3 linked regions of the Canis lupus familiaris genome follow. The protein of the gene in region 1 interacts with the protein of each later gene in a pairwise test. Links are inferred from orthologs where the notes say so. Each region holds a gene or a part of one and is shown in the gene's direction. Other genes may lie near its edges.

Region 1 (10,118 bases):
ACAAGTCAGTCTGTCTGGAGGAGGCAGACAGAAGGACCAGGGTTCAAATGAAAGGTGTGGTGATAAATAGTGGTGACGCCATGAAGAAGGATAAAGTGGGCTGAGGAAATGGCGGGACCTTTCTTAGAGTAGTATCTTGCTTTGGGTTCTAGAAGGCAGGTGCTGAGAGAAGGATCTGAGTGCAGATAAAATCTATTTGGAAAGAGATCCCAGGAAATCTTTCTAGGAGAAGTGAGAGGGGAAGAGAGTCCAAAAAGTGGACAGTATGAAGTCAGTCACCAGCATGGGTGACCAGAGTGCCATCCCTTGGGATGCACTTTGGGAGCTTTGGGAGGCAGTAGAGAATGTGCTCTTCGGGTATTCTGTTTGAGGGGCAGTTCTTGGCAGTGGCGGGTTCAGGGATGGGAGTCCTTAATGCCCCAATGAGCATGGGCATTGACACCTCCGGCAGCCAGAGCTGCAGGCAGAGGTGGCATGTGTGGAAATGGTGTGTACTGAGGGGATGGCAGTGGGGCACTGAGCGTCCGTGCAGGCAGTCAGGAAGAGCCTCTCCAAGAAGGTGACTTGGAGCACATGTGAGGGAGGGAGGGAGGAACCTGGGAAGAGCCTTCCAGCCAGAGGGAACAGCAGGTGCAGGGGACGTTGAACTGGAGGCCGGGGCACTGCTTCTCACAGGTCTGGCGGCCGAGGGAGGCATATGTGCCTTGAAGGAGTCAGGTCATCCCCTGCTCACCCTGTTCAGGCAAGCATGCAGGACACGATGCCCATCCCTTTGTGTGATCCTGACCCCTGCTTCACACGGGAAGGAGCTCGGTGGGTTGCGGGAGTGGGCGAATGGCATGGGGCTGTGGGAGGCAAAGACCAGCATTGTCAATTATGAGTCATGGCCAGACTCCTCCGAGCCTCTTCATCTGTAAAGTGGGAATCCTAATATATCCTTGCCTCTCCTCAAAAATATTGTAAATGGCTGCGTGCACATTCAAGCTCTTAGCCCTCGACCCTGGGTAATGACAGTAGCTCACACTTCAGTGGCCCTCAGTATGTGCCAGGCATGGTTCTAAGCCCACCTCGGGTGTGAACTCATTTCATCCTCACAACAACCTTGTGCGGTGGACAAGCTTCTTGTCGCAATTTTTAAGTGAGGAAACGGAGGACCAGGGAGGTGGATGGAGTGCCTGAACCCCATAGCCCATCTCCAGACCCCATAGTTTTAACCTTTACAAGCATGTTTTTCTCTTACAGAGTAAGTAGCCATCCAGGAAATGAGAGCTTACGCTATCATCATTTTTTAATTATTTTCTTTTGATAATCTTAACAACTTCTGAATTTGCCTGGCACTTCTTACATGATGAACCTGTTTCTGATGATGTTCTTGAGGAACTGAACCCATTTGTCAGAGACTGTGGCCTTAGAGAAGCAGCTACATTCCAGGTCATGCCAGGGCTCGGGTTGCCTTCTCAGATGTTACTCTGTGGCTTCTGAGGCCACCTCCCCACCAGACTAGAAAAGGCTGGAGGCCAGGACCCTTGGATGGTCCCCCTGGCCCATGGGTTTGGCTATAACTTTGATGTTCCAGACACCAGCCAGGCTGGGTCTCCTGGGCAGCCAAAGGGGCACAGGGCACCCTGCCCAGCTCCAAACCCTGGGCAGGGGGCCTTAATGAGGAAAGAATACACGTTTGCTGCCGCGGGTTAAACTGGGCATATGGTCCGTCCCCAGCTAACTGTGACAGCAGGTCATCTGTAAAATTGCTAAGTTAAAATAGCGCAGTCATTACCCACCACAGGACCAAAAATAACCAGGACCGGAACAGGGCTGTGGACTCAGGCCTGTGTTTGCCTGAGGGCCTCTGGGAGCTCTTCCCAAAGCCCCGGGCTCCTCCTAGGAAGGAGCATGTGGCCGCCAGCCTGAGATGGATGGTGAGCAGACACAAACTCTGCATTTGTCATACTGAGTGCTCTTTGGTGCAGGTTTCTTCAGGGAGGGTGTGGGCACCAGAGACCTTATGAGTCATGCCCAGAAGGACAGTATAGGAGGGGGAGACAGATTTCCCTCCCTAGAGGGGAAGGAGGATCTTGCTGGGCCGGGAGGATAGGGTAATGGGAAGGAGGAAAAGGACGAGGCCGAGCCGTAACACTGGACAGGAGTGCACCTTCTTCTATTCCTGGGGGAGACGCACATGAACAAGAGTCCTTCAAGAGGAAGACACATGGTAGGCAGCTGCTGGCTGTGAGTGATGTGGCTGGAGAAGGAAGAGAAGGAAATCCATGCTCTAGAGAGGCACAGCGACCCTCTGACAGAGGGCCTCATCAGGAGGCGTGACCAAGGGCGGGGTCCTGTGCTAAGTACATTACGTTTTATTACCTCATTATCTCATCAAAGGGTCAAAACAGCAGCCCTGTGAGCCTGAGACTGTTGTTTCCCGCATATTATTGGAAGAGAAAACTGAGGGTCAGGGAAGGTAATGAATTTGCTCAAGATCATTCAAACAATGTCAGAATTGGGATTCTAGGATTAAGAGCTTTGCTCTTAACAGCCAGGCTATCCTGCCTTCAAGAAGGCTGCCTGGATGAGGCTAAATGCAAGGGGTTTCAATCAAATAAAGGAAAGGGCATTTCTGATAGAAGGAACTCCTTAAGCAAAGCTACAGAAGTGGGAAAGAAGAAGAGACTCTACATGGTTGCAGCTTCTGCTGTGTGTGCTCAGGTGCGTGTGAATGAGTATGTGCATGCAGGGATATTGTGGGAGAGAAGACTGGGACACCTGTGACTCCCCAGTAGTCATTGCCTGTAGTCAGAATTGCCTCTAGTGGGTTGGGGTATGTGTGTGGGAGTGAAGCTCTGCTTTGTGGGATCTTACCCAAGTCCCATCCCTCCCTGGGCCTCAGTTTCGTCATCTGTCATGTGAGGAGTTGGGGCAGAGGGTCTCCAAGGCTGATGAGTGGTAACCAGTCTACCAGGGCCCTCATGAAAGAGGCCGCAGAATAGGGGAGGGGTCAGGCCAGAAAAGGAAGAATGCAGAATATGCTAAGCATTTCAGAGGTCAGGGAGGACTGGGGATTGTTTTGACAGCAAAGAGGTCATCTGTGACCTTGGCAAGCTTTGGCCCTTTGGAATAGAAGGAACGGAAGTGGCTTTGGAGAGGGGCCAACTGAACCAGAGGAAATGGGGTAGTGGGGACACGAAAATGGCAGAGAGGAAGGATGCTTGCTGTAGGGCAGGGATGGATAATTAGATGAAGGAGGCCACCCCTGATTGATTGGTATTGCCTGCCTGGAGCCTTATATGGAGAAACAGTCCAAAGCCGTAAATCAGAGGGAATAGAGCTGCAATCGATTAGCAATGTCTGTCAAGGACATTAGCGATAGGCATTGCAGCATGTAGTTTAGATGCATCTGGGGTTGAGAGTGGTAGTTTGAGTACCCACTGAGGGGAAGCCTCAGGAATTAGGAATTGTGGGAAGAAGTATCTCTGGCTTTAGGAACTTCTTTCTGACCTTTTGCTAAAATCAAGGTAGTTTGCCTCATGAGAAGATTATATGGGCTACTGGTCAGGAGCTTGGGCTTTATTTACAGTCAGACAACAACTAATGTGACAAGTTACTTGTCCTTTGACTCTCCCTTCCCTCCTATGAAACAGAAATGAAAGAATGTGTGCCTGCAAAGTACTGTAATGTTAGAAGTAATGGTAAGAGCTGCTTTGTTATTGTTGTTTTTGTTGCTCGCTAGCTCTGTTCTGCACTGGTAATATGGTGGTGTTTGGTTTCTTTGAGAGCAAGGCTCAGATGTGATTTTCACCGGGACCCATCCCAGAACTGGGACACCTCAGGGACTTTCTGATTCTTTTTTGGAGGATCAAGTGAAGTAGGCTCGTGATTGATATAGCAGTGGATAGGGTCACTTTGAGGGTCTTCTCAGTGGGGGCTGGGCCTCATGTTGGGTCGGTGGCCCAAGTTCAAGGGCTAGAGAGCAATGGGCTGGAGATTGGAGCTAAGGATGGGGTTTGAGACATTGCAAGGCTGAAAGAACCCTTGGAGTTGTCCAGGTCATTTCTTCACTCAGCAAATACTGAGTGCCAACTACATGCCAGACTCTGGATGACCAGTCAACAAGTCCCTGCTCACCTGGATCTCAAACGGGGACTGGGTACACCCGTAAGTTCTTTAAAACAGCCCTCACCCAACATACGTGCATTATTTTTCAGAGGAGGAAGTAGTTTCAGAAAGGGACAGTGGCTTGTTCAAGTCAAAGCCAGAGAGGTGTGGGTATACAAGGCTCCTTCTGACTGGTGCAGAGGGAGGTAGAGCTCCGGGAGGAGTAGAACTCCCAAGACAGTTGCTAGGAGGGGCAGCATGGGCCAGACAAGGGAGAGGGGCCCAGTGCTGCCACCTGGACCCAATAGTGCAGGACCCTCAGAATCAGGCTGTGCCAGCTCAGAACCTCAGCTGCCCTGGCACCATTGATGCCCACTCCTAAGCTTTCTTCCTGTGGCTCTTCCATTACAGCCACTGAGGGCCTCTGGAGGAGCACAAGATTCTCTCCACTCCTCTCTCAGAAAATGGTCCAGGGAAGCTGGCCCTGGCCGTGGTGGCCCCTGGAAACTGGTTCCTCTATGGATCCTGCCCTATCCAAGATTGTGTGCAGCTAAAGAGCAGTTTCCTCCTCTTCAAAGTACAATCCTAGTACCTCCTACACTGCAGCATCGGAGAAAGGATAATAAAGGACAGGCAAAGGGCCTTGACAGGCAGGAGCATGGGGTGTTCATTGTCTTGGTGATCGGTCTTGGAAGGGTCCTTAGAGACCTTTCTTCCGCTTCTGGCTTCATTGCTTCCAGCTGAATGATCTGGGGAGGGATCCTGGGGTTGTTCAAACCACTGATGAAAACCACACATGCCCTCCTGCCTGCTCAGGGCCCTCTCTCATGTGGATGAATGAGGCAGGGGCTTTCCAACTCTCTCTCTCTCCATCTGTTTCCCTACCCAGTGAGCTGGGCTCTTTCTCCCATTTCCCAACCTTCCTGATCTCTGTCATGGCCAGAGTTTTCAGAGGACCTTTCCATGTGCCTTGCTCTGTGTCATTGCTTCAGCATTACTGTCTTAGAGAGGGGAAGGGACTTCCCCAACACGTGCAAGGTGGTGGGAAGCAGAGCTGGATTCAGGAAGCCTTCATAGGATGTCATTTGAGCAATCACCTCTCCCATTGCCCGACCCTATCACCACCTCTTTCCTGGTCCCCCTCCTCCCTGCCTCTTCCTCTCTAGGGCTGTGCAGATGGAGGGCAGCAGAGCAGGCTGGGGCCCTGGGAGCCACCCAGGTTTGAGTGGGAACCTGGGAGGCTCACCCAGGTTGAGCCTAACTCCCAACCTTTTACTCACTGTATGTGGTCTTTGTCTGATGACTTTGCATCTCTGAGCCTCAGTTTCCTATTTCCTAATCTATAAAGTGAGGATAACATCCATGTCACAGGACTGTGCAGAAGATTCAGTAAAAAAAAAAAAAAAAAAAAAAAAAAGCATGGTTTGCTCTCAGCAAGCATTAGTGTTGAAGTTGAATTTGGGCTTTGAACTTGAAAATATGGGTTCGGATCTTGGCTCTTATACTTGGCTGGCTCTGTGGACTTGGTTGTGTGATTTTATCTCCCCAGGCCTCAGTGTCTTTGTAAGTGGGTATGATAAAAGTGTCTATCTCATAGATTGTCGTAAGACTTAATGAGGCTATTTTATATAAGGTTTCTTAGCGTGGTTCTTGGTGAGTACTGGAAAATGTTTGTTCTTTATTATAGGTAAAAATAATGGTAGATAGACGAACCCGAATGCCCCTTGCTACGTCTTCCCTAGGAAGTGGGGGCTGGGAGGACAGGGTCTGAGGACCTGTCTTCTTCCTGCCCAGAGCTGCCAGAGAACTGGACAGACACTCGGGAGACACTGCTCGAGGGAATGCTCTTCAGCCTCAAGTACCTGGGCATGACGCTGGTGGAGCAGCCCAAGGGTGAGGAGCTGTCAGCTGCTGCTGTCAAGAGGATTGTGGCCACGGTGAGCCCCAGGCAGGGTGGGGGAGCCATGAGCCAAGGGCCAGCTTCTTGAGGTACCACTCATCCCCTGCTTATTACCCTGATTGGATTCATCTGAGCTGTTCCTGCCCCTGAGTTCTCTTGCATCCAGCTTAGGGACTCTGGTAGAGGGGAGCCACTGGGCTTGTGGGGTCAGGGTCAGTGTCCTCCTCTCCAGCTCTTGTGGCCATGGCCTCTTCCAGCCTCCCCTCCTCCAACTCAGGTCCCCTGCCTAAGGGTTGGTGACTTAGTGCCAAGCTGTTACCCAATCACTTGCCCTCTGGCTTGAGGGACAGGGTAACCCACCAGAGACCAGCTGTCCCCCGTCCCTAGTCCCTAGCTTCCCCATCCTGAGTAAGCATGGCCCTAGAAGTACACCTTCCTTGGTGGCCTTGGAGCCCTCCACACAGACCTTCACACGTGTAGTGGGTGGAGTGGGGAGTCCCCAGGAGTGATCCTGCTGGGTTGTGATAGCCCTGTCAGTGCTCAGAGTCTGCGGTCTCTCCTGTGTGTCCTGGGGCAGGTCCTTTAACCTCTGAGTCCATTTCCCCCAGGAGAAGCTCTGTTGCCTATAAGGATGACTCAAGGTCCAGTGCCTGGCAGACAGCAGGTGCTCTGTGAGCAGCTGCCCTGAGTTTATTACAGGAGAGTGCGGACTTCCATCCTCCCCAGAGTGTCTGCTGTCTCTACATTGAGGCCTCACTGGGGCCCCGAGTCTGGGGCTTGGACAAGCTAGGTGCAGTCCATGAGATAGGTCCCAAGTGGGGCACGCAGGCTTCTCTGACCCACATCTACCCCAAGGCCAAGGCTAGCGGGAAGAAGCTGCAGAAAGTGACTCTCAAGGTGTCGCCACGGGGGATTATCCTGACCGACAACATCACCAACCAGCTCATTGAGAACGTGTCCATTTACAGGTATGCTCAGCATTGCCCACATTCACTCTGCCACTTGGGTTAGTGGTGCAGGGGCTGGAGTTGGGGGGGGGGGTCACCCTTTCTGAATCCAGGCTCCAGCACTTTCCTTCTGGTTGACCTTGGGGCCTCAGTTTCCTTGTGTGTCTGTGCAGTTGGAAACAGATGCTGCCTCCTTGTGCTGTTAGGAAGTGCTGAGTGCACAGTGCCTGGCTGTCAGTGGGCACTTGGTAGAAGGCAGTTGCTGCTGTCATTATTTCTAGTTGAAGTAGGCAGCTGAGCTCTAGTCAGGGCTAGGGCCCCCTCCCTACTGCCCCTCCCGAGGCGGGCTGCTGAGTCAGGCTTGGAGCAGAGCGCTGCCCAGTCTCTGCCTTTTTCTTCCACTGTGAATGCAGCAGCTCAGCTCTGAACATGTGGCCAGGCATTCAGGGAGGCCTCAAGGCAGAGTCTGAGGCCAGAGTGGGGATGGTATGGGGGTGGGCACTGTTTTCAAGGAAGCAGAGCCCAGCCCTTGAAACCTCAAGCTCTCTCCGTTCCCTCCCTTGGCTGGTCAGTTGTAGGATTTCAGTGCTGGAAGGGACAGTCCATTTTACAGACAGAGAAGCTGAGGCTCGGGGAGTTGCCCAAGGCCCCACAGTGAGGTAGTAGCTGAGGTGGGACCAGGGCACCAAGGCTGGAGTTCTGTCCAGTGGGCACCCAGCTGCTGGGCATCCCTCCACCCTCTTGCTTTGTTTCCAAGCACTGGCTCAATCCACTGGAGCACAAGCCAGTACTGGAGAGGTGAGGGGTGGGGGTGGGCGGGGTTTGGTCTTAGAGTTTCTGGCTGGTGTCTTCCTCTCACCTTCCTGATTGTGCCTGCCTCCTTTAACTAGGGGAGGGCTCACACCCAGCCCTTGCTGGCAGGGAGGACATGGAGGGCAAGAAATAGGAGGGAGGGTATAATATTTCCCAAGAAGGCAGAGAAGGAGGGGCCTGCCTGAGGGGACCCAGCAAGGCCTGCCCCAGGGAGGTGGCAGGAGGCTGGATTCCCTGGGATGGCGAAGAGGTAGCTGCTGGCCTGGGGGTCTTAAGTGGTGCTGATCCCTTTGTTCATGGCTGTGATAGGAGCTGGGGCCACACTGGGGGAAGGAGTTAGCTGAGCTCCTGTCCCACCTCTGGGCTGCCAGTCCCCCCCCCCCCTCTCTTTTTAAAGATTTTATTTATTCATGAAAGACACACACACACACACACACACACACACACACACACACAGAGGCAGAGACATAGGCAGAGGGAGAAGCAGGCTCCATGCAGGGAGCCTGATGTGGGACTTGATCCTGGGACTCTGGGATCACTCCCTGTGCCAAAGGCAGATGCTCAAGAGTTGAGCCACCCAGGCATCCCATCTCCTAATTGAGATTCCCAGGCTGAGCAGCCAGCAGGGAAGGAGCAAATGAGGGGGCATGGGGGCACGTGTTCCACCAAGAGGGGATTGCTGTGTATCCCTCCTGGTTTGGCTGGGGCTCCCAGTCCAGTCATCTTCACACACTCACCCTGCTCCCAGCTCCTCCACCTCTGACCACAGCTCTGGGACAATTTGCCAGCAGTGTCAGTCACACTGGGAGAGAGGGCCTAGAGCTCCTCCAACCTCTGGGCAGGGGCATGGATGGAGGGCAGGGAGGGAAGGCCTGGTGAAGGGCATCGGTGGGCAGGGTGGTGTCCTGCTTCCCCTTCCGTCTGGTCAGCCCAGACCCTTAAGGGTAGCCTGACAGTGGTTATAGCCTCTGGAATCCACAGGTGAGTACAGTTCTCAGCTCTGCCACTAGCTTGGTGGTCTGAGACCATTAGCTTCAGTTTTCTCGTCTGCAAAGTGGGGACAATTATAGAACCTGTTGGAGGGCAGCTCTGAGAATTAAGTGAAGTCATATCTAAAATGTTGCCTGGGATGCAGGAAGGGCATAGCCATTACCATTTTGGGGTATGGCTCAGTAAAGAGGGGAAGTACCCTGTCTTTCCCTGCATTCCTTCTTGCCTAGCCTGGGTGCCCCCCATCGATGGCCCAGAATGCCAGTCCCAGAGGCCAAAGCCATCTCCAGAGTCTCCCCCTGGTGGAGTAGGATGGCTGGCTCTCAGGGACTCAGGGGAGATGCCCTATGGGGCACCCCAGATGTGGGCAGGCCCCTGTGCCAGGTTTGGTGACACTTCCCCTGTTGTCTTTCAGGATCTCCTATTGCACAGCAGACAAGATGCACGACAAAGTGTTTGCCTACATTGCACAGAGCCAGCACAACGAGAATCTCGAGTGCCATGCCTTCCTCTGCACCAAACGGAAAATGGTCAGTGGGGAGGGCCTGGGTCCCTGGCAGGCTCTGGCCTTGCCTCAGCAGCCCTGCCCTTGGGGGGAGGCAGGACCCAGAGGTGATGTCACTTAATAGGAAGTATGAAATTCCTGGGAACCCCACGTGGATGGTGAGAGCACCAAGTAAGGCTGCAGTCACTGGGCAGTCTGTCATTGTGGGCTGCCCTGGCTGGCTAGCCTGGCCTGTGGGCGGTGGCAAGCCAACGTGGGGTCGGGGGAGTCTCTCCTGTCAGTAGTATGGTCTGAGGGTTTGGACCCTTGTAGGAATTAGTCCTTGGAGCCTGGTGATCAGAGAACCCAGGGGAAGGGCAAGGGGACTGGCTCTCTGTGACCAGAGTGGGGAGGGAAATGGCCATTTTGGGGTACCTACCATGTGCCTCTTTCAGTGATGGATTTTAAGGGATCTTCTGTTTAGTCCTCACAGCTCTGTGAGGTGGCAGCTGCTACTGTCTTCACTGTTTTTATTTTTAATGAGGAAACAGACTCACAGAGGTCAGCTGTCTTGCTGAAGATGACACAGCTGCCCAGGCAGAGCGAGGGTTTAAACCCATGTTTCTCCCCCTCCCTGCATGACCTCGGGAGCCCCGAGCTCCTTACCCCATTTCCAGGCTGCCTCCTCGCCACATCCAGCTGAGACAAGTGGGACCTCCGTGGTCTCTGCATTTTGTCTTGAACTTGGGGACCAGCAGCCAGAGTGAGTCCACTTTTATGTTGAGGCTTTCACTTTGGAGGCCCCAAGGTCTGAGCATCTGCTCTGTGAGGAAATTCCTGACATTTATTGGTTTAGTGTTGGCTCCTGTTAACCGCTGTGTGGAGCCCAAAG
Region 2 (9,060 bases), on another chromosome or scaffold:
AGAAGCACTTGGGCGTCGCTGCACCCAGCATCGGCAGTGGAAAGGCAAGAGTCCTGGTTCCAACGAGCTTTCTCTCCACTTGCCTCCCTCTGGGGCAGATTCTGTACACACCTTGACCTGTGCCATCATGCTCCTTAACACGGACCTGCATGGACAGGTGAGAGGGCAAGGGAGCTGGGACCAGCAGCATGGAAGGGCCCCAGGGGGTGGGGGCAGGGTTATGTCTGGAGAACTGGGGGTTGGGGGTAGGGGAGGAGTAGGTCTGGAGAACTGGAGAAGATTCCAGAGTGGCCGGCTAGGGGGTTATTCTCTTGGGGTGGGGAGTGTGTGTCAGCTGTCCCACTTCTCTCAATGGCCACAGAACATTGGGAAGAGCATGAGTTGCCAGGAATTCATAACCAACCTGAATGGCCTGCGAGATGGCGGGAACTTCCCCAAGGAGTTGCTGAAGGTAAGGCACGGGGAGCTGGTGGCTCACTGGGATAATGATGCCAGGGCTCCCTGTGTAGCTCCTCATCCCGGCCGGGGGGGGTGGGGGGGTTGGGGGGGGATGCCCCGCCTGGGCCTGGCTCTGCTGCAAAGTCCTTGGGAGGCCAAGGCTTGTTTATGGAAGGTGCTAAAGTGTGCATCCTAGTCAGCAGCAGCAGCACCTTAAAATTTGTTGGCTTGTGCAAATTCATAGGCCCCTTGCCTTGGACCGACTAAATTAGAATCTCTGGGGCTAGGATCCCTAAAATGTTCTCTTGAGTTTCCAGGTGATTCTGAGACATGGGGAATCTGAGACTCACTGAGATTTTGTTTTGTTTTGTTTTGTTTCTTTGGTTCTCAGAAATGAACCAAGGCAAAGTTTTAAGTGGCATTAAGTCTAAGACTTAGGAGCTGCGTGTTCTAGGGTTTGAATTCTTCTAGTCTTAGGCAGCTTGGCTGCTGAAGTTCCTCCAGGAGTAGCGACTGCTTTACAGTGTGGTTATCACAATGAAATAAAGGTTGTCGTGCTTAGCATGACAAGGGGCACAAGCCTGCTTTTTAGTAAGCTATGATGGCACTGATTCTTTCGTCTCTGTGATGGACACTTCTCGAACACTTGCCGTGTGCCTGGCATGATGCTAGGCATCGCTAGAGCTACAAAGGCCAGCAAGATGCATGGACACGAGTACTCTTTGTTGCATCATTTCCAAGTTCCAGCACTGATTTACTCATTCTTCCACCATCCATATTTTGGCCCTGTTAGTCAGCTGTTCCTGCATTGTCAGATCCCTCTGGGCCAGGATGGTATGTGGATGATTCATTTCCTTTTCAGGAGAACTAGCTCAGGCCTCATGAATCTCAGGTAGGGATCAGGATTGCTTTGATCACCGTGCAGCATCTCGCACAGTCCCTGGCACACAGTGAACGCTCCATAAATGGTTGCACGTATGCATGAGGACATGGATGCATGGATGAGCTGCCTCCTGGTCAAGGAGGAAGGGGATGGAAGAGGCAGACTGCAGCTTTTCCCTGTCCTACGTCTGAGTTTGGGCCTCATGGGCAGAGGCTCCCTGCTCACTGTGCACTTCCATTCTAGGCCCTCTACTGGTCTATCCGAAGTGAGAAGCTTGAATGGGCCGTGTAAGTAAGACTCCCCTTCCTTCTACTCCCCCCCCTTCTCCCCTGCCTCTGGGCCTATCCTCCTTCCATCCACCCACCCACCTGAGAGTTGGAGGAGCCCAGGGCCTCTGTGTGGGGTCCAGACAGAGGCCAATCTCAAAGAGGCTAGAGGAGTCCAGGTAATACCTGGAGGATCCAGGGGCCGTGGGGAGTAGGGATGACAGGAATAGCTGGCTTTGAAGGACTCCTTTTGGGGGGTCCTGGGATATGGCTCTCCAGTGAGAGAGAAGGTAGAAGGTGCTGAAGCTGAGGGCCCCTCCTGGTGGCTTTTACCCAGTCAGTACCCCCAACCTGATTCTCTGATGCCCAGGGACGAAGACAACGCAGGCAGACCAGAAAAGGCCCAGCTGTCTCTCCCCTCTGGCAAGATGAGCAACCCCTTCCTCCAGCTGGCCCAGAACCCCACGGCGCCCACCTACAAGCAGGGCATCCTGGCTCGGAAGATGCATCACGATGCGGATGGCAAGAAGAGTGAGTGTCTGCTGTGCTGAGTGTGTGGGGCTTGTGTCTGCCACCGAACCAGAGTGTGTGTGCATACAGGCATGCAGAGTAGCTTGGCACAGGGACATGAGCTGAAGTGTGTGCCAGCATGCAGAGAGATGGTGCAGGTCAAGGACAGGCAGCCTGTGTTCCTTCCTTGATAGGGACCATGTGCTGGGTGCTGGGTAAGATGCCAGGGGGCGGGGGTGCAGAGACAAGACACACCTAGGTACTCCTTGGCCCCCAGGACCTCTGTGGTAAGGGGGAGGTGAGACAAGTACATCAGTGTTGGGATAAAAGGTAGAAATTGCTGAGGGGTGTAGGGAGGGGGAGGTCAAATATGGGGGTGTGGAGGAGGGCTAGGTTTTGATTTTGTTTGGAGGGTGAGATGTGGGGGACAGGGATTGGTGAGGCTTCTGGGAAATGATGGTATCAGAGTTGAATCTCAGAGCAAAAGAGGCCAGAGGGCATTTCCCTCAGACAAGGAGCAGGAATGGTTTGCTGGGAATAGAAGGGGTGTGACAGAATGGCAGGGGGTGCATTTGGCCTCATTCTGCAGACAGGAGCTTTAGGGCAGGGCAGCCATGGGACCAGAGTAGTAATGGAATCCTGGATTGGATGGGGTGTGGGACCAGCCAGGAGCTAGCATTTGGGCCTAAGCAAGGCCGGGAGGCGACCCCGGGGAAGCCGGCCACCTACTGCATGACAACCTGAGCCCTGTGACTCTCTGGATGGGACCAGAAAGATGTCTGGTGGAACTGTGCTTGCGGGTGGGAGTGTTTGGAGGGAGGATGGTCGGTGTGGACATCTGGTTTTGTTGTCGTTTGTGCGGTCCAAGCAAGATTGCCTGGGTGTGAGGCATGGCATCTGCTTGTTTGCGACTGTTTTCTTGTGTTGGTACGTCACTGTGTGTTCATTATGTGCACCCTGGGGAGGGACTGAGTTGGCGGGGAGAGGGGACTGCATGTGTCTGGTTGGGGTGCCACCACCTGCTTTTGTGTTCTACCCCTGGAGCAGCACCGTGGGGTAAGCGTGGCTGGAAGATGTTCCACACCTTGCTTCGAGGGATGGTCCTCTACTTCCTGAAGGTAGGAAGGGCAGGGTGGGGAACCAGAATGGTTTGGAGGGTGGGCAACTGATAGGCACCCCTTTTCTGAGGCCCTGTGCCCTGTGGCAGGGAGAGGACCACTGCCAGAGTGGTCAGAGTTTGGTGGGACAGATGGTGGACGAGCCGGTGGGAGTGCACCACTCACTGGCCACCCCGGCCACCCATTACACCAAGAAGCCGCACGTCTTCCAGCTGCGGACTGCCGACTGGCGCCTCTACCTCTTCCAGGCACCGTAAGTCCCTGGGGGTGCCCGCCAAGCAGCAAGGCCCTGGCCCTCCTCTCCCTGATCTCACGCTCACCCTCTGATGGCTGTTGGCTGGGGCCTTGGTGGGAACTGCCTTCTTTTTTTTTTTTTTTTTTTTTAATATTTTATTTATTAATGAGAGAGGGGCAGAGACACAGGCAGAGGGAGGAGCAGGCTCCATGCAGGGAGCCCGACGCAGGACTCGATCCTGGGACTCCAGGATCACGCCCTGGGCAGAAGGCAGGCGCCAAACCGCTGAGCCACCCAGGGATCCCCGGGAACTGCCTTCTTGACCCGGAACATCAGACCGCCGCAGCCGGCAGGGGTCCTAGGGCTGCACCTGAGGCCTCCTCTGACCCTGCCCACTTTGCCACTGCAGGGGCCTCTTCCCTGGAAGCCCCGGGCCAGCCTCCTACTTATGAACAGAGGATCCCAGGAAAGCCTCTAGCCACTGATTTTTTTTTTTTTTTTTTGCATTTGATCTAAAATCCATTGCTTTCCTAGATTTTCCTCTTTGACAGATGATAAAAACCACCCGCAGAGGTCAGCCACCTGGGCTGGTGACCGGCTTCTGGCTTTTTGAGGCTCTGGGTCTCGAGAGTCTGGAACTGTGCAGCCCGCAGGAGGCCGCGGGGAGAGGGACGGGGCCGACTCTGTCACCCTGGGGACTAACGGCCTCCTCTGCCCTCAGCACCGCGAAGGAGATGAGTTCCTGGATCGCGCGCATCAACCTGGCGGCCGCCACGCACTCGGCGCCGCCCTTCCCTGCCGCCGTGGGCTCCCAGCGCAGATTCGTCCGGCCCATCCTGCCTGTGGGCCCCGCCCAGAGCACGCTGGTACGGCCCGGCGGGGACGGGCCAGGGGACGGGCCAGGGGACGGGCCAGGGGACGGGCCAGGGGACGGGCCAGGGGAGGGCGGGGCTGCGCCCCGGGCCTGGCGAGCCGGAGCGGGTGCGCCGAGCACGAGCACGAGCACCTAGGCCCGGGAGCACCCGGGGCCGGGAACGGCGTGAGGGGATGGGGTGGCCTGCGCGGCGCATCGGGGCCCGGGCGGAGCGGTGGGACAGCTTCCCCTCCGGCCCGCCCCCAGGAGGAGCAGCACCGATCCCACGAGAACTGCCTGGACGCTGCCTCCGACGACCTGCTCGACCTGCAGCGGAACCTCCCGGAGAGGCGGGGCCGCGGCCGCGAGCTGGAGGAGTACCGCTTGCGGAAGGAGTACCTGGAGTATGAGGTCCGGCGCTGAGTCCCCGCCCCTCCCCGCCCCTCCCCCTCCCCCTCCCCCTCCCCCTCCCCGCCTCGGTGCGGCGCTCTGCCGCCCTCTCGTGGCCGCATTCGGCGGCCCGCAGCGCCCTGTGCACGGTGCGTGTCCCTGTGCACGCAGACCCCTTCCCTTGCCCTGGGGGCACCTGGCATGGTCTGCAAACTCTTCCAGCGGACTCTTGATCACTTTCACCTAAGAGTATACTATATTCGCCTTTACCTAAATTGAAGGGAAAACTGTATTTTAGTTGAATTATTTTCCCTAATACCTACCTAGTACTAGTAGACGGTATTTATAGAGCTTGTAATACTTGCCGGTATTATCTTATTTAGGCGTCTCACAACTCTGAGGTAGGGACCGTCATCCTCCCTTTACAGATGAGGAAGCAGGCAGGGAAAGATTAAACAATTTCTCCAAACTTGATGAATTCACATCCTATTCCAGGCAGGGCCGTGCCTCATAGTCTTAACTAAGGAATAATCTGATCTGTGCCGCACTGTTTTATCCCCTGGCCCCGCATCTTACCCTCCCTCCTTCATCTTACATCTTAGGCCTCTGGTCAGTGCACACATTCTGGGATCTGAAGCCAAGAGGGGCAGGGGAGGGGCAGTATGAGGACAGAGAGGATCAGAGCCATCCAGAGGCAGAGACCAGAGAAGGAAGCATCCGTGTCATCCTGGGCTGTGCTCACCAGGTCTCACACTGCCCTCTCCCTGCCTTTTTGGCTCATCCCTTAGCTTGGTAGGTGGTCCTCAGCCGTGGATGCACCGTTTCCCAGAGTCTCTGGGGTGACAGGACCCATCCCTGCCTGCAGAATCCTAGCCTCTCCCTGCCTATGGTCAGCTGCAACCTGTAGCAAGCCCTTGGCCCTCCCTAGATCTCATTCCCTTCTTTATAAGGTGGAGAAAACGATTCCCTGGTCACCCAGTCAGCCAGAGCTGGGATTGAGGATCAGGTGGGGTGGAGGATGAGCATACACTCAGTACACTGGGACCCCACCCGCATCTGAAAGCTGCTAGTTATGGAGGCCTTCGGAGAGTTAAACAGATGAGGGTAGTTAGCATCCCACTCTCCAGATGCCAATTGTTAAAATGCTATTCAGACTCAATTAGGCTTCAGTACAGATGTGAGCTGTTTGTGTGCAGCACTGCACAGATCAGGCCTAGTGGGTTATGGATCTTTTAGTGTCTCAGAGATGTAACGTGTTCTGGAGGCGTTAGTTACAGCATTACAAGGTGGTGGCTGTTAGAACAAGCTTGGGCTGGTAGGTGTTATTGTAAAACTGTCCAGATAACTGCACGTTTTGGGCACGTTGCTGCTGTGTCCTGCAAAGTCTACAAAGTCAAGCTCAGTACAGATGTTGGCTGTTGGCCCAGCACTCCTTTTGCAGAAATCTTTACCACCAGAGTCTTGTTCACTGTGAGTGGTCTGTCCCCCATGATTCCAGCCTTCTCCAGCCCTGGAGCCAGGGTGGTACTAAGGTGGCGGGTCCCTTGTGTTGCAGAAAACCCGCTACGAGACCTATGTGCAGCTGCTGGTGGCCCGTCTCCACTGCTCCTCAGATGACCTGGACCTGTGGGAAGAGCACCTGGGGAGGGAAGCCGGAGGCACTCAGGAGCCCAAGCCCAGCCTGAAGAAGTCCCACTCCAGCCCGTCGCTACACCAGGAGGAGGCCCCCACCACTGCCAAGGTGAAGCGCAACATCTCAGAGCGCAGAACTTACCGGAAGATCATACCCAAGAGGAACCGCAATCAGCTGTGAGGCTGGTGCTACCTCACAGACTCTGACCACGTGTCCGGGGTGGACCTGAGATGAGACCCCACGGAGGAGCCTCATTTCAGTGGGTCCCTGATGGGGGATGAGGCCCTTCCCCTTTCCACTGAAGGACAACCCTGATTTCTCTGTGATCCTCCCTCCCTGTTCACTGGAACTTTCCTAGTACTCTGTGCCCACCCCCAGGTTGGCCCCCAGCTGCCCCAGTCCCTGCTCACTCTCAGGGGAGGATGGATAAGAGTTTGGCTGTACTCCTGGGGGCAGCTCAGCACTCATTTGAAATTCAGAGTACTCCTGGGTTCTGAGCTTCCAGAAGGGAGGCTGAGGCAGCGGAAGCCTCTGGGCAGTCAAACCAGTGGAGCCATAGCCCTGAGGGTGGTCTTGTGCTGGGAGTCTGGTGACCTGTGGTGAGAGGTCCTGGGAGACCCCAGCCATCCTCAGGTGACAGCAGGGTGGCTCAGCCCTGCCCCCTGACAGGTAGGCCTTGGGAGGGCAGGGTTTCAAGAACAAATTCAGTGAGGCTGATTCTTGGGCCCCGGGCCTTTGTGTACAATCATCCATGCACCAGGGGCAAATGAAGGAGGCCCCACCTCACACACCCAATTGCTAATCATCAGAGCAGAGCCGTTGGTGGTCGGTGAGGGCCAGAAGGGGTTGGAGCCTCCAGAGCTCTGTGGAGAGCCCTGGGAACAAGGGGCCTTTGTTTCTCCAGAGCAGGGAAGGAGGTCCTCCAGGTTCAGACCCTAGGAGAGGGCTGAGGGGCAAGATGTGACACATCCCCCGGGGGGCTCTCTTGGAAGGAGCTGAGAGCTGTGAAGGCCAGATAGAAGCCTGGCTCCCTTCCACACACCCCATCCCATAAAGTTGCATTCCCAAGAGGGGTGCCAGGGCCACTTCCAGAACCCTCCCCCCACCAGCTCACAGGGGGCTTTGCTCCCCTCCCTGGGAAGTCCCCTTGTGCTGCCCTCTGACTGCCTCCCAGCTGGGCTCTGGGGGAGGTTCCGGACACTCATGGACCTCAGACTCTGCCTGTGGGAAGGAGGCTGGGTTGGAGGAGCAGCCACCATTGTCTCTGTTCAGCCAAGTGTGCGAGCAGGCTGCCCGCCAAGAGGGGCCTCTGCTGCCTGTCTGCCGCCTGCTGGCTGACGCATTGCCTCTCTGGCCTTCCTGCTAGAGGGTGGGGGGCCTCCTCCCTCTGTGTTTGTAACCAGCCCCGTGGCCTGGAACTCCACCAACTGGGGCTGACCCTCCGAGACCATAAGAGGTGTCTGGCCAGGGCCTGGGGCCGGGCCAGGTACTCAGTGAGTGCACAATAAATGCAGGCAAGTGAAGAAGGAGGTGTGCACAAATGTGTGAGGAAGGGAGGGTCAGGCTGTTCTGAGCAGCTGGAGCCACCTGCAGGGTGCCAGGCTGAGTCTCCCTTCACCTAGGTGTGTCTGTACCTCTGCGTGTCTGTATGTGCGTGTCTAGGTCTGTGTGCATGTGTGGAAGACTGTGAGCCAGAGGGGACCTCAGAATCATTTGTTCATCCACTCATTCATTTCATAAATAATATTGACCACTTTTTATGGGCCAGTACAGGAATTTCCAAAATGACTGGAACATGTCTCTGGCCTCTGGGAGGTAACAGTCCTGTTCTCTGGTCCTTGCTATCAGTATAGAAGCACACTTGATCTTGCTGGGGAGGCATGCTGAGGATGCATTCCCATCCTCAGGAACAAATCCCACGCTAAGGGATTCAGATTCAGTAGGTCTGGGTTGAGGGCATGATTATGTTTTTGTTTTTGTTTTTGTTTTAAAGCGGCTTGGGTCACTGATGTGCAGTTAATAGGTGAAAACCGAGCATCAGGTGGATGAGACTTGCCCCAGGACTGACACAAGCTTGGCCTTGAGTGGGTTATTTGACCTCACTGAACGCATATCCTTATTTCTAAAACCAGAATAAAAAAGGCAGAGGTTTATCCACATTTGTGCATGTGTGTGGCACTATGATGCTTCTTTGTTCAAGTAGAACTGGCACCTCTCTTTCACCTGGGCGCAGGAAGCCGTCAGAGACAGGTGGTGGCTGGGGGGAGGTGGGGGGGGGCAGCGGGCCAATGCTGCCTAGGCCCCTTGGCCTGGAGGCCTGGGAAGGTGCAGGCTGCGTGGTTAGGCTGCAGTTCTGACCTGTGGCCACTGGGGGGCGGGCTTGCATCTTTGAAGCTTGTGGGGCCCAGGTGTCCAGCCGCAGAGCTCTGCTCCCTGAAGAAGAGGAAGTTAGTCTGTTTGTCCCCAACATCACCAGAACCAGAGCCTTCCACTTCCCTAAATCCACAGTAATCCAGGCCAGGCCTCACCTTCTGGAGAAGTCCGCCAAGGAGAGGGTTGCGACTCTGACATCTTCCTATAGATGGAGGGAGAAAGGATATCGTATCCAGAGCCATATGGGGGCAGCCTAGAGTTCCCCAAAGTATTATCCCCACAAAAGTGAAAACTGAGTGAGCTCCCCGTCCCAGTCCTGAGGCATAGGGCAGCGCCAACCCTCAGGCCTGTGTCTGACCTT
Region 3 (10,118 bases), on another chromosome or scaffold:
GGAAACACCCGTCAATGAGCTGTGCCTCGCCAGTGTGGCTGCTCCACGGAGGAGCCTGGGGCCAGGGAGCGGCTCTGGTAGTCTCCATTCTGTGGCCGTTTTCGCTGAGGAAAGGCCCTGTGGCCTCAGAAACACCAGTGCCACGGGCTGGGGTGAGCGGAGTCCTCCGTGCTTCACGGGCCTGCACCGCCTGCTCCCTGCCTCTTGGCACTTGGGCTGTGAATTCCTGTAGCAAGAAGGAAGGAAAGAACCTGGAGAGGCAGGTCTCAGGTCTCACTAAACTCCTGCCACCGCTTGCCACACACACCGTGACTTAAGAAATCGAGCCCTTGCTGCCGGTCCCCGGAGGGGGTGCCATCGAGTGAGACCACACCTGGTCCCAGGGGCGCCACACTGCCACCGTGCATCCCTCGAGGTGAGGGAGTCGTGCTTGGTGACCACTTCACGCGCACTGGGGCCTAGCAGGCGGTGTCCCGTGAGCCACGGGAGTCCCCGCGAGGGAGACTGTGTGCCCCCTTCACAAATGAGGGAACGGAAGAGAAGCCAGGCAGTTAGACTGTGCAGGGCTGCACTGGCCGGCCAGACCCAGAGCGTGTGCAAATCACCTTGAGAAAGACCAACGCGTGTGAACAAGTCAGGAAACACGACTGAAGAGCAGGAGACCAGCCTCGGAGTCTCAGACGTGTGGTTCGTGCTGGGTCTGCCTGCGCAGCTCCGGAGCCGCCCCGCAACCTCACCCAGCGGCCCCTGGTCCGGACGGAAGTGCCCTTGACGAAGGGATTCTGAGGTTCACCCAGAGGAGTAAGCGTGTGGGAGCAGCCCGGGATGATTGAGAAAGAACAAGGTCGAGGGTTGCCCGATGTTCCAGGCGTGAAAGCATTTATAGCGCTGCGGCCACACGCCAGCGGCCCCGGGGTCCCTGGTGCGAGACCAGAGCCATGTGAGGGGTGGACTCGCCAGGCATCCCCTTGGTGAAGAATGAAGTGTGGCCCCCACCTCGTGCAGCACACCAAAGGTTTCTAGTAGATGGAAGATGCAGGTGTAAAAACATGAGGAGAGGGCAGCCCGGAGGCTCAGCGGTTTAGCGCCGCCTTCCACCCAGGGCCTGATCCTGGGGACCCGGGATCGGGTCCCACGTCAGGCTTCCGGCACGGAGCCTGCTTCTCCCTCTGCCTGGGTCTCTGCCTCTCTCTGTATCTCTCATTAATAAATAAAATCTTAAAAAAAAAAAAAACATGAGGAAGGAAGCCAAAGCATCCTGGAGAGTGTGTTGGCGATCGGAGCCCCCCTCCGTGGCCACAGCCGTAGGGGAAAATACTGACATGTCTGATGCACGCAGCTTAAGAAAAGGTGCGTCGTTTCCCACCCGAGTGGAACCCAGTGGTGCATACACACAAGATGGCAGCGAACACCAATGGATGCTCAACCTCGAGAACAATCCAGGGAACGCGGAGAGAACTCTTTCCTCAAGAGATCCACAAAGCCCAAGCAAGTGCTGCTGCGCCTGCTGCCAGGAGGTGTGGCCCGCGGAGTAGCTGGCAGTGTGGGGTGGTGGCCGGGCGGGGACAGGGCCTCCAGCGGGCCCCCTCGTGTCCTGCACCAGGCACGCCATGGCACGGGGCGCTGCGCCCGAGGTGACACGGATCTCCTGTGCAGTGTCTCCTGGCATAGAGCACCTGGCCCAGGAGCGTGGATAGCATGGCCCTGAGGCTGTCCTTTCACTGCTGGTGTTTCTCCCGGAGTTCTGAGAAGCATCCCAGCTGCGGACAGACGTTGCCCCAGGAGGGAGCAAGGAGAGAGGGTGCACCTGTTTGTCACTTAAATTCCTACATTAGACTCTGGAGAAGTCAAGAGACTGTAGTGTTCCTTGTGCGGGAAATGACCACGCAGAGTGGTAGTGTTGCACCCATCTCCAGCGGGGCAGCAGAGAGGCTTGGACCCCAGTGAGGGGGGCCCTGCCAGCCCACAGGCCCGCCGCCCCCACCACCTGCCCTCCCTCCCAGCAGCGGGCCCTCGAGCCTGGCCACCCTGGGCACCTGACCCACCCACGCACGCACGTGCACACACACACGCACACCAGTGCACACATATGCCACTGCACGTGCACACGCACACACGCTCTCGCCTTCCTAGGCCTCCCCCTCCCGAGGGCTGAGCAGGTGTGGGGCCTGGCACTGGGTCTCCCATCTTCCTGTAGGGTGGCCGTCCCCAGTGGGATTTGTCACCCACAGACCTGGTGACATCAGCTCGGGTTCCTTCTTGCTTTTCAACATGGAGATGGCTGCTCGGTGTTGCTTTCTTTTTAATGAAAATCTCTTTATTTTGTTGGTTCCAGTCACCCACTGACCTTTGTCACTTCCTTTCCCCCGTCTCTCTGTGCTTCGCTGGACACACCCCAGGGGAGTTCTCAGGTGCGTATCTGTCCCGTCTGTCTGTCTGCACCCCCCACGGCGGCGTCCAGCTGCAGTGGGGTGGCCTCCCTGGGGCACTCCCTGCTGCAGCCTCTCCCCTCCTGGTTCCTTTCCAGGCCACTAAGGCACACGTGCTTTTGCTCACCAGCCTACTGCCGCTCGGAAGCTTATTTTGGTTTGCTCTACTAGCCCACTGACCATGGCCTTCCCTGTCCCTTCAGAGGCCCACCATCCCCCTGTGCCATTCCTTAAGGTTCTACGGAGCCATGAGAAGCATAGCACAGTTGGGATGGGGCCGCAGGGCCTAGTTCTGTGGGTCTCCCCTCTGTCAGGTGCACCCCGGAAGTCGGGGGGCCTCACGCCCTAACACCCTAACGCCCACCCCTCCCAGCCCAGGACTTCTGTGTGTGACGTCGGTGCACTGCCCCGCCCTCCCCCCCCTCCCTGCACCACCAGGTGCCCCTGGCCTGGCGGTGTCCTTGCAGAGGGAGCGTCCCGCCTCCTGGCCCTCTCCAGGACGCACACACCCCCCCCCCCCCACCGAAGCCCTAGTGTCCCTCCGCCCTGCTGCTCACACAGGCTTAATGCGCTTGTCTTTTCTCCCTTCCTTCCCTCCCCCTGCCGCCCTGGTCGCCCGGCTCCCGTGGGACTGGGACGGCTCTCCTAGTGCGCCATGATTTCTTTGGTAAGGCCAAGGCCCCGATTCAGTTTGTGTTTCTCCCGTTCCTGGCTCCCCCTGTGTGCCTCACACCTCCTTCGGTGCTCTGAGCTGTTTGCTTTGCTCTGCATGCTGGGGGCGGCGGTGGGGTCCGCAGAGGCCACGGGATCTCCTGGCCCCTGGCTTTTGGGGTGGGGGTGGGGGGCTCGATCCCGACCCCCCAGCGTCCTCTCTCAGAGCAGACCCTGGACAGGCTGAGGGGGCGGGAGCACAGACAGTGGTCAGACCCCGTGCTGAGTACACCAGTGCGCCTCAGACCAGGGCAAGTGGGTATTAGGAACAGACCCCGGGCTGCTGGGGCTGTGTGTCCTCAGGCCGAGCGTCAGTACATGCGAGTTTGCGACGTGCCTGCAGAGAGCGTAGTCGGTGGGGCCCCCAAGTGGATCCCCCAACCCAGCTCCTGTAAACCAGGGTCGGCCCCTCTGGGCACCAACCCCAGGGAGCGCCGCCCTCCCTTCTGCTCCCTCCTCTGCCTGCTGCTGACCCCACCGCTTGGGGTCGGGTCCCACCAGCCCTGCTCCCTGCCCTGGTGGCGGGCCGAGCCATCTCCTTGGCCAGGGGCTCTCTGCCGTCCTGTGCTGTCACCACGGCTCCAACCGCTATTCTCCTGGGCCAGCTCTGAAAAGGGCTCAGGAACCCCAGGGCTCGGGGATACAGGGGGTGCTAAGAGGGGCCAGCAATTGAGGGGTCAGCTCACGTCACTGGTGAGCTGTGGGGGGTCAGCTAGGGGGGGACCCGCGCAACACCATCTGCAGGCTGCTCGCTGGCAGCACTGCTGGCCGGGCGCCCACCCAAAGACCAGCAGAGGCCTCTCCCCAGGGCCCAGACCTGTGGGCCTCATCCTCCTGTGTGCCCTCCCGGGGCCGAGGTCTGTTGCTCTGAGGCAGGCGGCGTAACCTCAGGGTCTAACTTTACCAGCACAGGTAACATCTCTCTGCCTTTTGTTTCAGGAATGGGCAAGGAAGTGGGGAATCTGCTTCTGGAGAACTCACAGCTTCTGGAAACCAAGTAAGGATGCCCTTCTCCAGGGTCACTGGGGTGGCTCAGCCCAATGAGCCTCCCAGGCTTGCTGTCAGCTCAGGTCGTAATCTCAGGGTCATGGGATCCAGCCCTGCCTGTGTCCCCCTCTGCGCTGGGTGTGGCTTCTGCTTGGGATCTGCCCCCCTCCCCTGCAAAAGGAATGCTGCCCTCCAGCAGGGAGGTTGCTGAGATAGCCCTCCCCCAGGGCCATGGCCGCCACAACCCCAGGGAGGACCCGGATCAGAGGGCTTGGCACACCCTCCAGGGTCACCGCCCTTCCCTGCGTTCTGCACCCGGGTGCCCTTCCCGACCCCTCGTCCCGGCAGGCCCCCTTCAGCCCTCATCGCTCCACATGCACAGTGGTTCACACGGACGTCCACACTTTCTGCCTTCTCCAAGAAATGCTCTGAATGTGGTGAAGAATGACCTCATTGCCAAGGTGGACCAGCTGTCTGGGGAGCAGGAAGTGCTCAAGGGGGACTTGGAAGCCGCCAGACAGGCCAAACTCCGGCTGGAGGGCCGCATCAAGGACCTGGAGGAGGAGCTGAGGAGGTGAGGGGTGGGCCTATGGGAGGGCGGGGAATGCCCCAGGAGGGGGTGGGGCTCCTGGGAGGGGCAGGGTGGACCCCAGGCCTCTCCTCCTTGGCGTCCCCTGGAGGGCATTGCCCCACGGGGGCTCCACTGGGGTGCTGACTGTGCAGCCTCCCCCTCCTGCCCTCACATGGGAGCACTCCCAGGCCCACCTACCCCCCGCCACCTCCCCCATCCTGCCAGAATCCCTCACCAGGCCTGGGTGTCTCTGGCAGCCTCTTACAAAGGAGGGAGGGGAGGGGAGGGGACCCCAGAGCTCTGGGGTGTCCTCCCCAGCACTTGGCACTTCCCTGTGGCCTTTCTCTTCTAGCCTGATGCTCGCCCCGAGGGGTGCCTATGGCTGCAGACTGGACAGGGGAGGTGTGACAGGAGGGCGGGAGGGGGGTGGCACCGCGCACGCCTGTGGGGGTGACCGAACCGCCTCGCGCTGTCCAAGCAGCTGGCCTGCATCCCCGTTCCCGGAAGCCCTGCTCCCCCGCTGGGGCAGCCAGGACGGGGTCGGGACTTCACAGCGCGTGTGAGCAGGGCAGTGGGCTGCTGGTCCCCAGGGCGTTAGGAGTGCTCAGGGCGCCGTGTCCAGCGGGGCCACCACCCCACCACCGTTCCCTCCTCATCCTGCAGAGTGAAGTCGGAGGCCATCATCGCCCGCCGTGAGCCCAAAGAAGAGGTGGAGGATGTAAGCAGCTATCTCTGTACAGAATTGGTATATTCCACTATTAACATGAGGGCATGGGGGGCGGGCTGCGCGGGGCGGGCTCCCAGGGGCGCCCATCTCTCCGGGTCTCGGGGCCCTCCTTACCCACCCTGTGTCGTCTCCTCCGCCCATCTTGGTGGGAACCCTGTGCAGCCACAGGTGCCCACGCCCCCTTTGGGTGCAAGTACGGTGCTGAGGAAAGCCCTCCACTCCTTGGGGGCTGGTCCGTGACTGTCGCAGGAGGGCAGAGGGGGACTGTGGGGGGGGGGCCTTGGCCCTCTCCCGCGGGGACCCCTTCTGGCTGGAGATGAGTAGTCCTCCACAGAAGGCAAGGCCTGACTCTTCAGCCCCAGGTAGATAGTGGACACTGACCACACCGCTCAGTAGCTGTTATTTTGGGGGGCACGTGATGCACGGATCAGAGTGCTTGCCATTTACTCTGGCTCGTCCTGCACACCCCCCACCCCGAGCACCCTAGAACAACACGGAGGTGTGGGTGAATTGTGGGGCTGCAGGAGGTGTCGATCAGGGCGGGTCTCTGCTCCCCCTGCCCTGTGCCAGCCCACGGCAGCCCAGGGCCTGGCTCCTGGGAGCAGACCTGGCCCTGCCTCAGCACTCAGAGCTGGCAGGCCCCAGGCAGATCTGCTAACTCCTGCAGCGTCCCATGTGGACGTACTGACCCCAGGTCCACTCACTGGACCTTCCCTGGAGCCTCTCTTTCTGAGGCTCCACCCGGTCCAGGCTCACCTGTTAATGCTCACTGATGGCATTTGGGGTTGCCCTGGTGTCCAGGGGCTTGTAAGAAAAGTTGCTGTGTTGTACCCCTTGAGCATATCATGTGACCCTCTGGAAGGTGACCCTTCTTGGGGTGGGTAGACCCCCACTATGTCTGGTCCCCTGCCCTCACCTTCCCACCGCGTTTGCCTGGACGGGGAGGCGTATCCATGCGGGGACTGGCCCACTCCGGACTGACCTGCTGGTGGCCCCCCCGCTGGCTGAACAGCAGTGCCCTCCCCTGCAGGACAAGATCCCCATGGCACAGCGCCGCCGCTTCACACGGGTGGAGATGGCCCGTGTGCTCATGGAGCGCAACCAGTACAAGGAGAGGTTGATGGAGCTCCAGGAGGCCGTGCGGTGGACTGAGATGATTAGGTGGGCCCCCGGGTCTCCTCTTGGACCTGTGCTCACTGTAGGATGCCCTGACAATGGGATGAAGGCGGATCCCCACCCCACCTCCCTCTCCCGCAGGAGGACTGGAAGGGGGACCTGGTGGGAGCCTGTCGGGGCCCTGTGCTGGGGCCCCTCCGGAAGTGGTGGTGGACCCACCCAGCACCCTGAGAAGGTCCCAGGCAGGGGAGGCAGGAGGGGCCCCTGCAAGGGTGGCACAGGGTCACAGCGTGGGTGGGTGTGGTCTAGGAGCAGGTCAGCCTGGGCGGGAGGGGGGGGCTGAGCTTGGCTCCTCCCCTGCCCCTCCCCTAGAGCATCCCGAGAACATCCGTCTGTCCAGGAGAAGAAGAAGTCCACCATCTGGCAGTTGTGAGTCGGGGGTGCCAGGGTGGGGGGCAGGGAAGGCTGCCCCTTGGCCGCCCCTCACTCCCCATGCCTCCACTGGCAGCTTCAGCCGCCTCTTCAGCTCCTCCTCCAGCCCCCCTCCGGCCAAGCGGTCCTACCCGTCAGTGAACATCCATTACAAGTCGCCCACCACAGCCGGCTTCAGCCAGCGCCGCAGCCACGCGATGTGCCAGATCTCGGCTGGCAGCCGACCTCTGGAGTTCTTCCCCGATGAGTGAGTGTCCCGTCGTCTCCCCCGCTTCTCCTGCTGGCCTGCACATGGGGGGTCTGGGGGGAGGCTGTGTGTGCCAGGGTCCCCCCTCCAGGCTCAGGCATGGAGGCCGACCTCTGCGCCCTCGCCCTGCGCCCCTGAACGTGACTGGGTATGCTGGCGGCAGCCCCCAGCCCCTGCCCTTGGGGACGTCACCGCAGCCACCTTCGGGTCGGGCCGCGCCCAGGCTGCCCAGCACACCCGCGCTCCCCGGGGATGCTTGGAGCCGACAGGAGGTTACCAGCAGGGCTGGGCTTCTTCCTGAGAATACCGTTTGGAATTTTGTGTTTTCCTTAAGTTTTGGTACCAAGATTTTGGCTCCAGGGCAGAAGTGGGGGATTGTGTGTCCCATGTCAGAAGACGGGACGTTCTCCAGGACGGGTCCAGAGGGAGGGCAGCTGCACTGTACGGTCCTGACAGCCAGCCTCAGTGGCTGTGCGGCAGGGCGGGAGCTGGATGGGGCGGGCAAGCTCCGGGCAGGGCGGCCCGCGGGACCCAGCGGTAAGTGACCTGCCTGCCTCCTGCCCAGTGACTGCACGTCCTCCGCCCGCCGGGAGCAGAAGCGTGAGCAGTACCGCCAGGTGCGCGAGCACGTGCGCAATGACGACGGGCGGCTGCAGGCCTGCGGCTGGAGCCTGCCGGCCAAGTACAAGCAGGTGCTGCAGGGGGCACAGGGTACAGGCGGAGTGGGGCGGGTGCTGGGGCCGGTGGGACAGCTAAGGGGAGCCCCCAGCCCCGGGCCTCGCGCCCACGCGGCCTCTGCCTTGTGATTGCAGCTGAGTCCGAACGGAGGCCAGGAGGACACGCGGATGAAGAACGTGCCCGTCCCCGTGTACTGCCGCCCTCTTGTGGAGAAAGACCCAACCATGAAGGTGAGCGCCGTTGGCCTGCCGAGAGGGTGGGCCACGCAGGGGAGCACGCTCACTGACCCCGTGGCCGGTCTCCCAGCTGTGGTGTGCTGCCGGCGTCAACCTGAGTGGCTGGAAACCCAGTGAGGAGGACTCTGGGAACGGAGTCAAGCCGGTGCCGGGCCGTGACCCTCTGACCTGCGACCGGGAAGTGGAAGGAGAGAGCAAGAGCAATCACACGTCCCCCGAGAAGAAGGTCAGAGCGGAAGGCAGGCCAGGGTCTGGATGACTGTGCCCAGCACTGGTGTGACAGAAACAGGACAGCTGAGGACAGGGCCACAGGCGTGGGCTCATCTGAGGTCCCTTCCCCCGGCCAGGCGGTAGAGCTGGAGAGGTCAGGCCCCTGAGGCGTCTCCCTCCCTGCAAGCTGTGGGCAGGAGCAGTGGGAGGGGCTGTGCCCCCCACTGACTTGGGAGGCAGGCAGCCAGGTACCAGAGCTCCGTTCTCAGTGGGGGTGAGGCGGTGGTGCGGCCAGGAAGTCCAGTCCCGGTGCAAGCTGCCCTGCTCCGCGGGAGCAGCGCCGCATCCCTTGAGGCCGAGGGCAGGCGGCCCCCTCAGAGAGCCCTGCAGGGGTGGGCCCCACAACCCGTGTGGCTGTGCCAGTGGTCCGTGCTCGGTGCCAGTCCTGCCCTCCTGTGCCCTGACACAGGCCAAAGAGCTCCCTGAGCCAGACGCCACCTCCAGCCGCGTGTGGATCCTCACCAGCACCCTGACCACCAGCAAAGTGGTCATCATTGACGCCAACCAGCCAGGCACCGTGGTGGACCAGTTCACCGTCTGCAACGCCCATGTCCTGTGCATCTCCAGCATCCCAGGTGAGGGCCAGCCCCACCTACGGGGAACCCGCACCAACAGCATGGGGCTCTGCACCACTGCAGACGGTGGGTGCGTCAGGAGGCCCACTGAGCCGCACCAGCCTTGCTTGGGTCCCTCTCTAGACACAGGAGCCCCTGGGGGCGTCCAGGGAGAGCACACAGGTGGTCTCGCCCCTTAGTCTTATGAACAACCAGGAGAAGACCCCAAGGTGATGCTCGCCTAACCAGAAGGAGATGGGTTGGGCCTCGGGACAGACTGAAATGCGGCACTGACCATGGACCTGCTGGTGGGCCCAGTTCCCACTGCCCCACTGCAGCAGGGGGAGCTGGGCCAGTGGAGGCTTGGCTTTGCCTCTCAGCAGCAAGCCCTGTGCTAGCGTCTAGGGGTGGCCAGGCGGTGGGCAGGACAATGGCCCCAAGCTCCTCAGAGTTCTTAAGGTTTTGTCACATGATCACAGTTGTCTGCTCCCAGAGCCCAGAGTCTCACTACTCCATGCCTCTTGCTGGTGGCTTTCCAGGCCTGCGGGCGGTGGTTGTGAGCAGGTACCCACGTGTGCTGGGGCCACTCTGGCCTGAGAGCCTGGGGCCCACTGCGAGAGCAGAAGCCTCTGCATTGGCAGGCGGTCCCCTGGCCTCCCACGGCACCTGCATCGGGCAGTGAGCCCCAGTAGGGGCTGCGCAGTGTGGGGTGACAGGGCTGTGCCTGTCCCCCCAGCGGCCAGTGACAGTGACTACCCTCCGGGGGAGATCTTCCTGGACAGCGATGTGAACCCTGAGGACTCCAGTGCCGACGGCGTGCTGGCGGGCATCACCCTGGTGGGCTGTGCCACTCGCTGCAATGTGCCACGCAGCAACTGCTCCTCCCGAGGGGACACCCCAGTGCTGGACAAGGGCCAGGGTGAGTCCTGGGCCTGCGCCTGGGCAGCCAGCCGCCTTCCCTAAACCTCTCGTTCCTCCCCACTACCCAGCCAAGCTCACCCTTCCCTTCTGCAGGGGAGGTGGCTACTGTCGCCAACGGGAAGGTCAACCCATCTCAGTCCACGGAGGAGGCCACAGAGGCCACAGAGGTGCCAGACTCTGGGCCCAGTGAGGTGGAGGCAGCTGCGGTGCGGCCTGGGCCCCTCACAGAGCACGTCTTC

What was found.
Region 2: the proteins of LDLRAP1 (region 1) and PSD4 interact in binary tests that used the Homo sapiens proteins (3 or more experiments, as listed by UniProt). The two-hybrid records come from large-scale screens. The link is inferred for Canis lupus familiaris from reciprocal best matches to the Homo sapiens genes LDLRAP1 and PSD4.
Region 3: the proteins of LDLRAP1 (region 1) and MAPK8IP3 interact in binary tests that used the Homo sapiens proteins (3 or more experiments, as listed by UniProt). The two-hybrid records come from large-scale screens. The link is inferred for Canis lupus familiaris from reciprocal best matches to the Homo sapiens genes LDLRAP1 and MAPK8IP3.

The regions. Positions count from the first base shown.
Region 1 is NC_049223.1:73,746,490-73,756,607, reverse strand, and holds part of LDLRAP1 (low density lipoprotein receptor adapter protein 1), read left to right. Parts: intron 1-5,886; coding exon 5,887-6,029; intron 6,030-6,847; coding exon 6,848-6,960; intron 6,961-9,157; coding exon 9,158-9,272; intron 9,273-10,118. UniProt on the Homo sapiens protein: Adapter protein (clathrin-associated sorting protein (CLASP)) required for efficient endocytosis of the LDL receptor (LDLR) in polarized cells such as hepatocytes and lymphocytes, but not in non-polarized cells (fibroblasts).
Region 2 is NC_049238.1:37,469,240-37,478,299, forward strand, and holds the end of PSD4 (PH and SEC7 domain-containing protein 4), read left to right. Parts: intron 1-98; coding exon 99-157; intron 158-361; coding exon 362-451; intron 452-1,564; coding exon 1,565-1,608; intron 1,609-1,957; coding exon 1,958-2,118; intron 2,119-3,144; coding exon 3,145-3,215; intron 3,216-3,304; coding exon 3,305-3,468; intron 3,469-4,171; coding exon 4,172-4,316; intron 4,317-4,570; coding exon 4,571-4,714; intron 4,715-6,248; coding exon 6,249-6,506; 3' UTR 6,507-8,485; downstream 8,486-9,060. UniProt on the Homo sapiens protein: Guanine nucleotide exchange factor for ARF6 and ARL14/ARF7. Through ARL14 activation, controls the movement of MHC class II-containing vesicles along the actin cytoskeleton in dendritic cells. Involved in membrane recycling.
Region 3 is NC_049227.1:39,580,556-39,590,673, reverse strand, and holds part of MAPK8IP3 (C-Jun-amino-terminal kinase-interacting protein 3), read left to right. Parts: intron 1-2,399; coding exon 2,400-2,411; intron 2,412-3,078; coding exon 3,079-3,096; intron 3,097-4,079; coding exon 4,080-4,137; intron 4,138-4,548; coding exon 4,549-4,701; intron 4,702-5,361; coding exon 5,362-5,443; intron 5,444-6,455; coding exon 6,456-6,586; intron 6,587-6,913; coding exon 6,914-6,970; intron 6,971-7,049; coding exon 7,050-7,220; intron 7,221-7,785; coding exon 7,786-7,912; intron 7,913-8,032; coding exon 8,033-8,128; intron 8,129-8,204; coding exon 8,205-8,360; intron 8,361-8,813; coding exon 8,814-8,979; intron 8,980-9,694; coding exon 9,695-9,877; intron 9,878-9,972; coding exon 9,973-10,118.